Linked DNA regions of Callithrix jacchus. The protein of the gene in region 1 purifies or fractionates together with the protein of each later gene. This does not show direct contact. Links are inferred from orthologs where the notes say so. Each region holds a gene or a part of one and is shown on either strand. Other genes may lie near its edges.

Evidence for each region. Proteins that work in one complex are often made in the same cells at the same time.
Region 2: the proteins of EDEM1 (region 1) and CANX purify together in Homo sapiens (affinity purification with western blotting; 6 studies listed by BioGRID and IntAct, with this or other methods). This does not show direct contact. The link is inferred for Callithrix jacchus from reciprocal best matches to the Homo sapiens genes EDEM1 and CANX.

What each region holds. Positions count from the first base shown.
Region 1 is NC_133516.1:62,315,133-62,320,102, reverse strand, and holds part of EDEM1 (ER degradation-enhancing alpha-mannosidase-like protein 1), read right to left. Parts: intron 2,496-4,970; coding exon 2,324-2,495; intron 1,286-2,323; coding exon 1,102-1,285; intron 1-1,101. UniProt on the Homo sapiens protein: Extracts misfolded glycoproteins, but not glycoproteins undergoing productive folding, from the calnexin cycle.
Region 2 is NC_133503.1:71,923,434-71,928,403, reverse strand, and holds part of CANX (calnexin), read left to right. Parts: intron 1-746; coding exon 747-873; intron 874-1,677; coding exon 1,678-1,757; intron 1,758-3,584; coding exon 3,585-3,638; 3' UTR 3,639-4,970. UniProt on the Homo sapiens protein: Calcium-binding protein that interacts with newly synthesized monoglucosylated glycoproteins in the endoplasmic reticulum. It may act in assisting protein assembly and/or in the retention within the ER of unassembled protein subunits.

The DNA.
Region 1 (4,970 bases):
GCTCTGCCAAATGTCAGGCAGAATAAAAATATCTGTTTATATTATAATGAAAAATATATCAAAGTTGCACATGCCAGGCTGAAAGGATCTATGGAAACCTAAACAGTTGACAATCTGGAGTGACACCAGTCAACTATTTGGTGATAGACTGACAACTTGAGCGACTGCTTTATTTCCATTGCTGTTGTTAAATACAACAAATACATAAATTTCAGAACTTTAAACAAACAGGTAAAAACCCACTTTAACACCTAGGCCACACACAGTGGCCTACACCTGTAATTCCAGCACTTATTGCTTGAGCTCAGGAGTTTGAGACTAGTCCAGGCAACATAGTGAGACCCTGTCTCTACATAAAGTAAGCATGAGCATGGTGGCACAGGCCGGTCATCTCAACTACTTGGAAGGCTGAAGCGGGAGGATCATTGAGCCTAGCAGGTGGAGGCTGCAGTGAACCAAGATCGCACCACTGAACTCCAGCCTGGGTGACACAGTGAGACCCTATCTCAAAATAAATAAACAAATAACACTGTAAGTTAGCAAAATATTGCTAATTATTAAAGATAAATGATGAGTACACAGGGGTTACTATTCATTATATCTACTATACTCTGAAATTTTCCATAATAATTTTTAAGTAACACCTTGACCAAACATTCTCAAGGGAGGAAAAACCTCACCTCATAGAGGTTTAATCTGGACTTTCAATCTACTACCACATGCCTAAATTTTTAATAGGCAAAAAGCTGCTCCAAAGTAACTCTATATTCCTATATTTAGAATCTTATATTGAAGCAATAAAATCTGCCTCAGAGGCAGTTCTTTTTATGGCATTTCCATTAACAATAATTTTCAAGTGGAATATGCCAGGGGATCCAAATCAGAAGGGAGGCCTCAAACACAAAAGCTTCATTCTTTTCCATCAGACTATCCAGCTTCGCTCTCTGCAAAGGGTCACATAAAGAAATTAGATTCAGCTGACACAATTCTTTCTGCGTTGTCAATTGAGTTAAAGACTGAAAAAGGGGCAGAGCCCAGAGAAGATAAAAGCAAAGGGGACCAAGCGGTGTGCAGTCCCAATGGCGAGCAAAGGTGCCACACCTAGCAATCCTGTATCGTTGCTCCGGAGGTTCCAAAGGGCTTTCACTGCTCGTCTGGCCACCCACTCAAATGTGGAGTCCCCCAGCAGTCGGCTCAGAATCCCGAATTCCACCAGGAGGGAACCAGCTCCCGCTGTGCACGTCTCATTATTGCTGTCAGGAGGAACTCCTGTCTTTAGATTTACCTGGGGATGGGAAGAGATAAAGACTATGACAAAACTCAAGGAACCCACAGGGCTGAAAAGCTGGATCTCAAAGACTACACTTGGCTAATAAACGAAGCTTACCAGTGAGTCAGCTCTCTGCCTTCCAAGATACAGATGAGGTGAATGTGGGAATTAAATTTAAAAGACACAAACAAGACAATAAGAACAGCAGAGCCTTGCTTTATTAAGAGGAGCAAGTCTTCAGGGAAAGGCTATAACACTTCACTAAAACGTCTCTTTCCACCAAGTTTTCTTCATGGTAACACAGACACCAGGCTTTAGGGTTAGATACCAAGGCAAACTATAGAATTGCTTCTAAATTTTAAGTGAGCCACTATGAACTCACTCCTGCTCAACACCTAAACAAACCTCCAACTGGAAGAGAAAGGAGGCACTGCCAGAATATGACAGCCTGTTTCATCATGAAGGCTCTGTGCTCTGGCAATTCTCAGCCAGTTACCTAAAAGGCTGACTCAATTCCCAGAGGAGTTCTGGGCCTGGCAAATCAGATGTCACAAAGATAAAATCTAATTCCAGATCCTGGCATTTAAATCAGCAGCTAACTTGCTGGTCTGTGCAGGCTCTATTTGAAAGATCCATGTGAAGCATTCAAAAGAACACTCACTGAGCTTCTGCAATACCCATGTGAGAATCTCTGGGGAAACAAACCCAAGTCAGAGATGAAGACAAACTCCCCACACTGCTTTGTAGCAGGGAATATAAATCACACATGTAAATGAATTTAAGAATACTGAACCTCACAGAACATCAATTCCTTAAAGGGGAAGGAATAAGTCAGATATGTCACTGTTTGCCTTTTATACAGTGGATGCTCAGTAAATGCTGAATTAATTTTAAAATATTTACATAATATTTAAGGCCAAATTCTCCTAAAGACACTGCTTTTCTCATCTATCTCCATCCCACTCCTTCTCCCAAATAAATTAATAAACAAAGAATTTTAATTCAGGAAGAGAGTAAACTGTCAAACACAAAGGGTCAAACCAGTCTACCCACCCGAGGAAATGGAATTCCTGTCTTGGTGTTTTCAAAAGCAGGGAGGAGCCGCACGGCCAGGTCATGAGCCATGTATAACAACTCATTATCATAATCCTTAATTGTCATATCACCAAAGGGCTGCTTGGAGTCAGTTATTATTCTGTGAGCAGAAAGGAGGCTTCCCAGAACCCTGATGACAGGAAGAACAAAAACATAATACAATCATGTTGCTAATAAATGCTCATAATACAATTCACAAAGACAGAAGTACCTTTATATCCACATAGACTCAGAACTACCTGACGTCAGAGAGACCTGACTTAATGGCCTCTTAAACTCCTTTATACCTCTAATAAAACATGACAGATTTTTGTTAACCATATTACTAAAAGAGGGAAAGGGAATCATTTATCCGAGGCTACCAAAAACAATACTATTTATTAACAATTTTGGTAAATTAAATCTTAGAGCATTAAGAAAAGGGAGTTGCACTTTGGGAGGCTGAGGCGGGTGGATCACGAGGTCAAGAGATCAAGACCATCCTGGTCGACAAGGTGAAACCCCATCTCTACTAAAAATACAAAAAAATTAGCTGGGCATGGTGGCGCGTGCCTGTAATCCCGGCTACTCAGGAGGCTGAGGCAGAAGAATTGCCTGAACCCAGGAGGCGGAGGTTGTGGTGAGCCGGGATTGCGCCACTGCACTCCAGCCTGGGTAACAAGAGCGAAACTCCATCTCAAAAATAAAAAAAAGAAAGAAAAGGGAGTTGGCTGGGTGCAATGGCTCATGCCTATAGTCCTAGCACTTTGCCAAGGGAGATGGATCGCTTAAAGCCAGGAGCTCAAGACCAGCCTAGGCAACAAAGCAACACCCTGTCTCTATTAAAAATAAAAATTAAAAAAAAAATTAGGCTGGGCATGGTGGCTCACACCTATAATCGCAGCACTTTAGGACGCTGAGGTGAGTGGATCACCTGAAGTCGGGAGTTCAAGACCAACGTGACCAACATGGAGAAACCCCATCTCTACTAAAAATACAAAGAATTAGCCAGGCATGGTGGTGCATGCCTATAATCCCAGCTACTTGGGAGGTTGAGGCAGAAGAATAGCTTGAACCTGGGAGGCGGAGGTTGTGGTGAGCTGAGATCACACCAGTGCACTCAAGCCTGGGTAATAACAGCAAAATTCCATCTCAAAATAAATAAATAAAATTAGCCAGGTGTGATAGGACACACCAGTAGTCCCAGATACTTGGGAGGCTGAGGCGGAAGGATCTCTTGAGCCTAGAAGTTGAAGGCTGCTATGATCATGCCACTACACGTCAGCCTGGGTAACAGAGCAGGACCCTGTCTCTTTCAAAAAAAGGAAAAAAAGAGGGAGTATACTAATTGTTCTCAGAATATTGCCTATTAGTATTATTAAATTACTCTTGATTTATTTCACTTGGAGAAAACACTCATAAAAAACAGAAGCTGGGCATGGTGGCTTTTGCCTCTAGTCCCAGCTACTTCAGAGGCTGAGGTGGGAGGATCATTTGAGCCAGGAGTTCAAGGCTGCAGTGAACCGTAATAACACCACTGCACTCCAGCCTGGGCAACAGAGCAAGACCCTACTCTAAAAATAAAAAAAATAATTTAAACTTTAAAAAAAACAGAGAAAGTTAAGACAATTACTAAGTAATTTTTGTAGTTTTGGCTGCCAAGCAACTGTTGAACTTCCCTAATACCTTAACATCTAGTAAAGAAGCAAGGTGAGGAGGAGGAGGAGGAGAGAATGACCTACTGAGAGGGAGCAGGCTAACAGCTTACACCTATGTCCTGGTAGACCCATAAAGTCCCATTCTAATGATCTGTAGACTGTGACATATGTTAGAACAAAGGTTTTCATAATTCTAATTTTAAATAAGTATTACAACTGTTAACTGGAATGTTATGCAGTAATACAATTATCAAAAAATTTAAACAGGAAAATAATCACAACAAATTAAAGCAAAGAAATCAATATACAACATACTAGGTATAGAGTATGATCCCAATGCGCTAAACAGAGAGCGAGAGAGAGAGAGAAATAGAAGAGATATATTTAACAAGGATAATATACTAAAATGGTAAGCAGTGATTTTCTGTGGGTGGTGAGATGGGGAACTCTCATTTTCTTCAGAAATAGGTAGGGGTTTTCCGAGGACATCATGAAAGAAGTAAATGAGATCAGACTATAAAGAGAAATCATGAAATTCTGTTCTAGACAGACACCTATTTTACACCCCCATTAAAACATAAATGTGCCCAGGTATGGTGGCTCATGCCTGTAATCCCAGGCCTTTGGGAGGCCGAGGCAGACAGATCACTTGCGGTCAGGAGTTTGAGACCAGATGGCCAACATGGTGAAACCCTGTCTCTACTAAAAATACAAAAATTAGCCAGGTGTGGTGGTACATGCCTGTAATTCCAGCTACTCAGGAGGCTGAGGGATAAGAATCCCTTGTACCTGGGAGGTGGAGATTGCAGTGGGCCGAGATTGTGCCACTGCCCTCCAGCCTGTGTGACAGAGACTCCATTTCAAAAAAAAAAAAAAAAAGGTTAATCTATAAAAACAAAACAAAATATAAATGTGTCTTTCCCTTCAGTCCAGAATGTAATTACTTTGAAACAATTCTTCCAGTTTTG
Region 2 (4,970 bases), on another chromosome or scaffold:
CTTTAGAAAACTTACTTACTGTTCCTCAATAGCCATTTATTGTGTCCAGATGGGAGCAGGATTTGTAGCCCCTTGGTCGCTACTGTTATCTTAATATGTTACTCTCCATAATGTTTGATATTAGCTTTCTAAAACTATAATAGACTTAGATATAAAACTAACCACTCAGACAATAATCAGCTTTTCCTGCTGGCATAGATAGCTATTTCTGTTCTTTGTAATTCTGTCTTTGGTCCCTCATTATCTATTCTTTCTTCACCTTCCCCACTCTCAAAACAGTATGTTGGGGTACCATAGCCTTACTGTTAGTTTTTCTTATTTAGCCTTTGTTGCATGCTATCATAAAAAAAGAAAGTTTTATTTTGGCCCTCTACTTCTGCTAAATCAGGATTATGCTTCATCTGGCATTCATAGCACTTTGTAACTGGATCCCAAGTTCTTTTTCCAGCCTCATCCTCTGCCACTATTCTGAGTATCTGTGCCTCAGTCACCTTGACTTTTTTGACCTGTACTCTCCTACCTGGCCCTTTTTGTGTTCTGCCTTGAAATGTGTGTGTGCGCGCGCACACACACACACACACACACACACACACAGGCTTTTCAGGGTAGGAAATAACATCTTACTCGTTTCTGTATATCTAACCCTGTATGCAGTCTGGAACAGAACTTTGCCTGTAGGCATTCAGGAATATGATAACATGATACATGAACATGTAAACGAAATTGTACTTTGGGGAATATTTCAGAAACAGACCAGTGCTATGGAGTATAAGAAGACCGATGCACCTCAACCAGATGTGAAGGAAGAGGAAGAAGAGAAGGAAGAGGAAAAAGACAAGGGAGATGAGGAAGAAGAGGGCGAAGAGAAACTTGGTAAGAAATAAGAGTCCAGATAATCTGCTTCACACCAAGACCCGACAATGTTGTTAAACCTTTACAGTCAAGTTAAAGATTGTTTACAACCAGGTGTGGTGGCTCAGGCCTGTAATAGTAGCAGTTTAGGAGGCTGAAGAAGGAAAAATGCTTGAGCCCAGGAGTTCAGGGCTATAATCAGCTAGGATAGTGTCACTGTACTCCAGCTGAGCGATAGAGTGAGGCCCTGTCTCGTTTTTTTTTTTTTTTTTTAAAGACAAGGTCCCACTCTGTAACTCAGGCTGGAGTGCAATGGCATGATCATGGTTTACTGCAGCCTCGACCTTATAGGTTCAAATGATCCTCCTACCTCAGGCCCTCAAGTAGCTGGGACCACAGGCATACACCATCATGCCCAGCTGATTTTTTTTTTTTTTTTTGAAATGGAGTCTGGCCCTGTTGCCCAGGCTGGAGTGCAGTGGTGTGATCTCAGTTTACTGCAGCCTATGCCTCCCGGCTTAAAGCTATTTTACCACCTCGGCCTCCCAAAGTGTAGGGATTATAGTTGTGAGCCACCACTCCCAGCCAGATCCTATCTCTTAAAAAAAATTGTTGGACAGGCACAGTGGCTCCCATGGTAGGAGAACTGCTTGAACCTGAAGGCAGAGGTTGCAGTGAGCTGAGATCATGCTATTGCACTCCAACCTGGGCAACAAGAGCAAGACTTCATCTCAAAAAAAATTGTAGATCTAGAGATGTGTTCTAATGCTAATTGTCAACAAAAATAATGATAAGGTTTGCTCAGTTGTTTAACTTCTGTCTTAGAAGAGAAACAGAAAAGTGATGCTGAAGAAGATGGTGGCACTGTCAGTCAAGAGGAGGAAGACAGAAAACCTAAAGCAGAGGTAAAAGAAAGGGGTCACACTTTTTTTTTTCCAAGTTGAAGGTACATTTATGTAAAGGAAATATTTTGATAGGGTAGTTTACAGTGGCTTATGGCAGTAAAATTTCTGTTAAAGCCAATTTTGTCGAAGTGGGATTCTATGTGATATAGGTCAGTGTTTTGTTTGATAATTTTAAGCTACATCTGAATCTCAAATGTATCCTTTTAGCTGAAAATGATTTTCTGGAATAAGCAGAAGGTTGTAGGGAGAAAATAAAATGCTTGCTAGGAAGACAACGTTAGGTCATTAAAAACCTATCTACCTCTCCTCACTAAAAAATATTTCTTGTACAAATAACTGTGTACCTTAAAGGGTATTTCTTGTACAAATCACTGTGTTCTAAACTTCTTGTCCCTGTTCATAGATTTGTTCATTCATTTACCTGATATTTATGAGTGCCCATTTTGTGCTAGGAATTGTCTGTAAATGAGACAGACAATGCTGCCTTTAGGGAGCTTAAATTCTGCTTGTGGGAAACAGGCAATGAGCAGTAAACATTGTAAGGAAGTAAATAACATAGTATATTAGGAAGTGATAAACTCTGAAAAATTAAGGCAGGAAAAGCTATTAAAAATGCTAGAGGTAGGGCGGATCACCATGTTAAAACCTTATTGGACAGATGACATTGGACCAACGACTTGAAAGAGATAGAGAACTTTTCCATGGGGATATCAGTGGGAAGAGCATTCCAGGCAGAGAGAACAGCCAGTTTGAGCCCTAAAGTGGTTGTCTTTTAAGGCCATTATGGCTAGTGGGCTGAGAGACAGAGTGGAGAAAAGAAGGGTGGAGAAGGCTCCAGAGTAGACTGTTGTGTGGACTTGGCTTTCCCTCCTAGTGAAGTGCGCAGCTATCACAGGCTTTTGGGTACAGGTGTCACAGGATGATGACTGTGTCTGCTGTGTTTCCTATATATCAGAGAGACCAGTTAGGAGGTTCCTGTAATCATCTAGGAAAGATACAGCAGTCCCACAAAGGGTGACAGGAGAGGAACAGCGGGTATGAGAACTAGTTGGAGTTCTGGCTTGGTTTTGTGGTAGATTGGACATATAGAGTATGAGAGAAAAGGAACAGTCATTGTCTGTACCATTGCCTACTAATGTCCCTTTCCCAGCACTTCTGTGTTTGAATCTGGTCTCTCCTGGAAAGCTTTCCTCAGGTACTTGCAGCTACAACAACTCTGCCTTCCTATTACTAAAGATCAATGTTATCTGTATCTTTAGTATATTTTCAATGGATATGTTCTTTCTTAACTAGAATGCAGTTCTTGAAGGTAGAGACCATGTCTCCCCCAAACTTCCTCACGTTAAAAAAGTTGCTGACACATTTAAATAAAGGGAGTATTTTCATAGGGTAATTTATAATCTTAGCAACTGGTAATAGAGTACAAAGAGCAGCAGCCTTGGAGTCAGTCTACTTGGATAGCCTTCCATCTTCATGAATCCTTGGTTTCTTATCCTCAGAATGGGGATAGTGTGGCCGTAGGCCAGTAGATTGTTGGGGATTAAGAAATCACAGTGTCTGATCCTTTTTTAAGAAAATGTTTATGGATTAGATTGATAAAATGTATGTTTATAGAAAACAATAAAGACCAAACTGAATTAGACATAATTCCACTCCTCTGAAACCACCATTCTTCTTGGTGCATTTTTCTTCAAATCATTTTCCTCGTTTTTTCCTTAAATAAATTATCCTCAGCCTGGCTGACCTTGAAAATAAGATGAACTTTTATTATTTTTTAAATGTGCTAATTATACTGAATTTCTTTCTTTTTTTTTTTTTAATCAATAGGAGGATGAAATTTTGAACAGATCACCAAGAAACAGAAAGCCACGAAGAGAGTGATACAATCTTAAGAGCTTGATCTGTGATTTCCTTTCCCTCCCCCCCCACCCCCGCAAAAGTGGTCCTAGGAGAGGACCTGGCACACCTTAGGTTGAAACTCAGAAAACTTCAAGATGTTACTATCAGCAGGTTCCAGTTGAACAGTAGTCTGTGTAACTTTAAACATCTAGCAGTAAATACTTGCAGTTGTGATATAAAGGACCCTGTTTCTGTAGAAAAGAAAACATTTAACATAATGGTTGTGAAATGTAACATGAAGTAACTAACTTTTTTTTTTTGTAACATCTTTGTTTTTTAAAATAGAATGATAGAACTTTGCCAATCTTTAAGATCTTGGCTTAATTTAATGTATTGATCTGTTTGTGTAAACATAATACCACCATTTTAAAATGTTGGGGGATGAGTTACAGTTTTTATAATACATTTTTTTTTTAAGTTTGGTATTGTAAAACGTTCACATCTCTGTCCCTCAAAATTGATAATCACGTTTAAAGTGCAGTCATTTATAGCTATAATCTTGTTTTGTTTGTTTCAATTACTCAGTTCCTCCTAAGGAAATTGAGGAGAGGGACTGGTGGAAGCCCAAATTTATATGAAAGTTGCATTTAAGTTGTATTAAAAATAGATATATGAAATGGAAAAAAAATCGTTCACTTGATGTTGGTTAGACCAGAAAGTGCGTGTGTTCTGTAGCTCAATTCCCAGACAGCTTTGCAGGTAGTGGAGGAGGTGGCTTCATGTGGCCCTTGGGCATTCATACTCCACTTGGGAGCGTCAGGCTGTGGCCTTCTGGAGCAGGTGGCTTGTTAAGGCATCCTAGCAGGGCATGGCACATGAGCTCCGGAGTAGGTATGTTCATCACTTCTTCCACTGTGTTGACACTTTTCCTTACCTGTTTCCTCAGATCCCCAGCTTTCTCCTCTGCTATGCATTTTCTTCACAGTGCAGCTTGCAGTCTGTTCCTGAAAATGATTATAAGCCCTGCATAATGTTAAGCTTTATTGTGATTACATGTATGTTTCTTCTTCTTTCTTTTAAGCAGACCCATACCTTTCCAGGGTCAAAGTACAGAATAGAATACAATCTTTGATTTTTATCTGTTTCTTTTACTCTGTATAAAGACTTCAGAAGTCTAATTCAGAGGCAAGCCAATACAGAATTGACTGCAGTTGAACAGACTAGAAGTATTTGTGGGAGGGGTGACATGAAGCATGAGTTACCTGATTTTTTGTAGCTGCTAAATATTTTAAGCCTTCATTTGCAATTCATGTAACAGTTGTGTCATAAATTACACAATAAAGCAGTCCTGTTCAAATTTTTTTTTAATGTGGC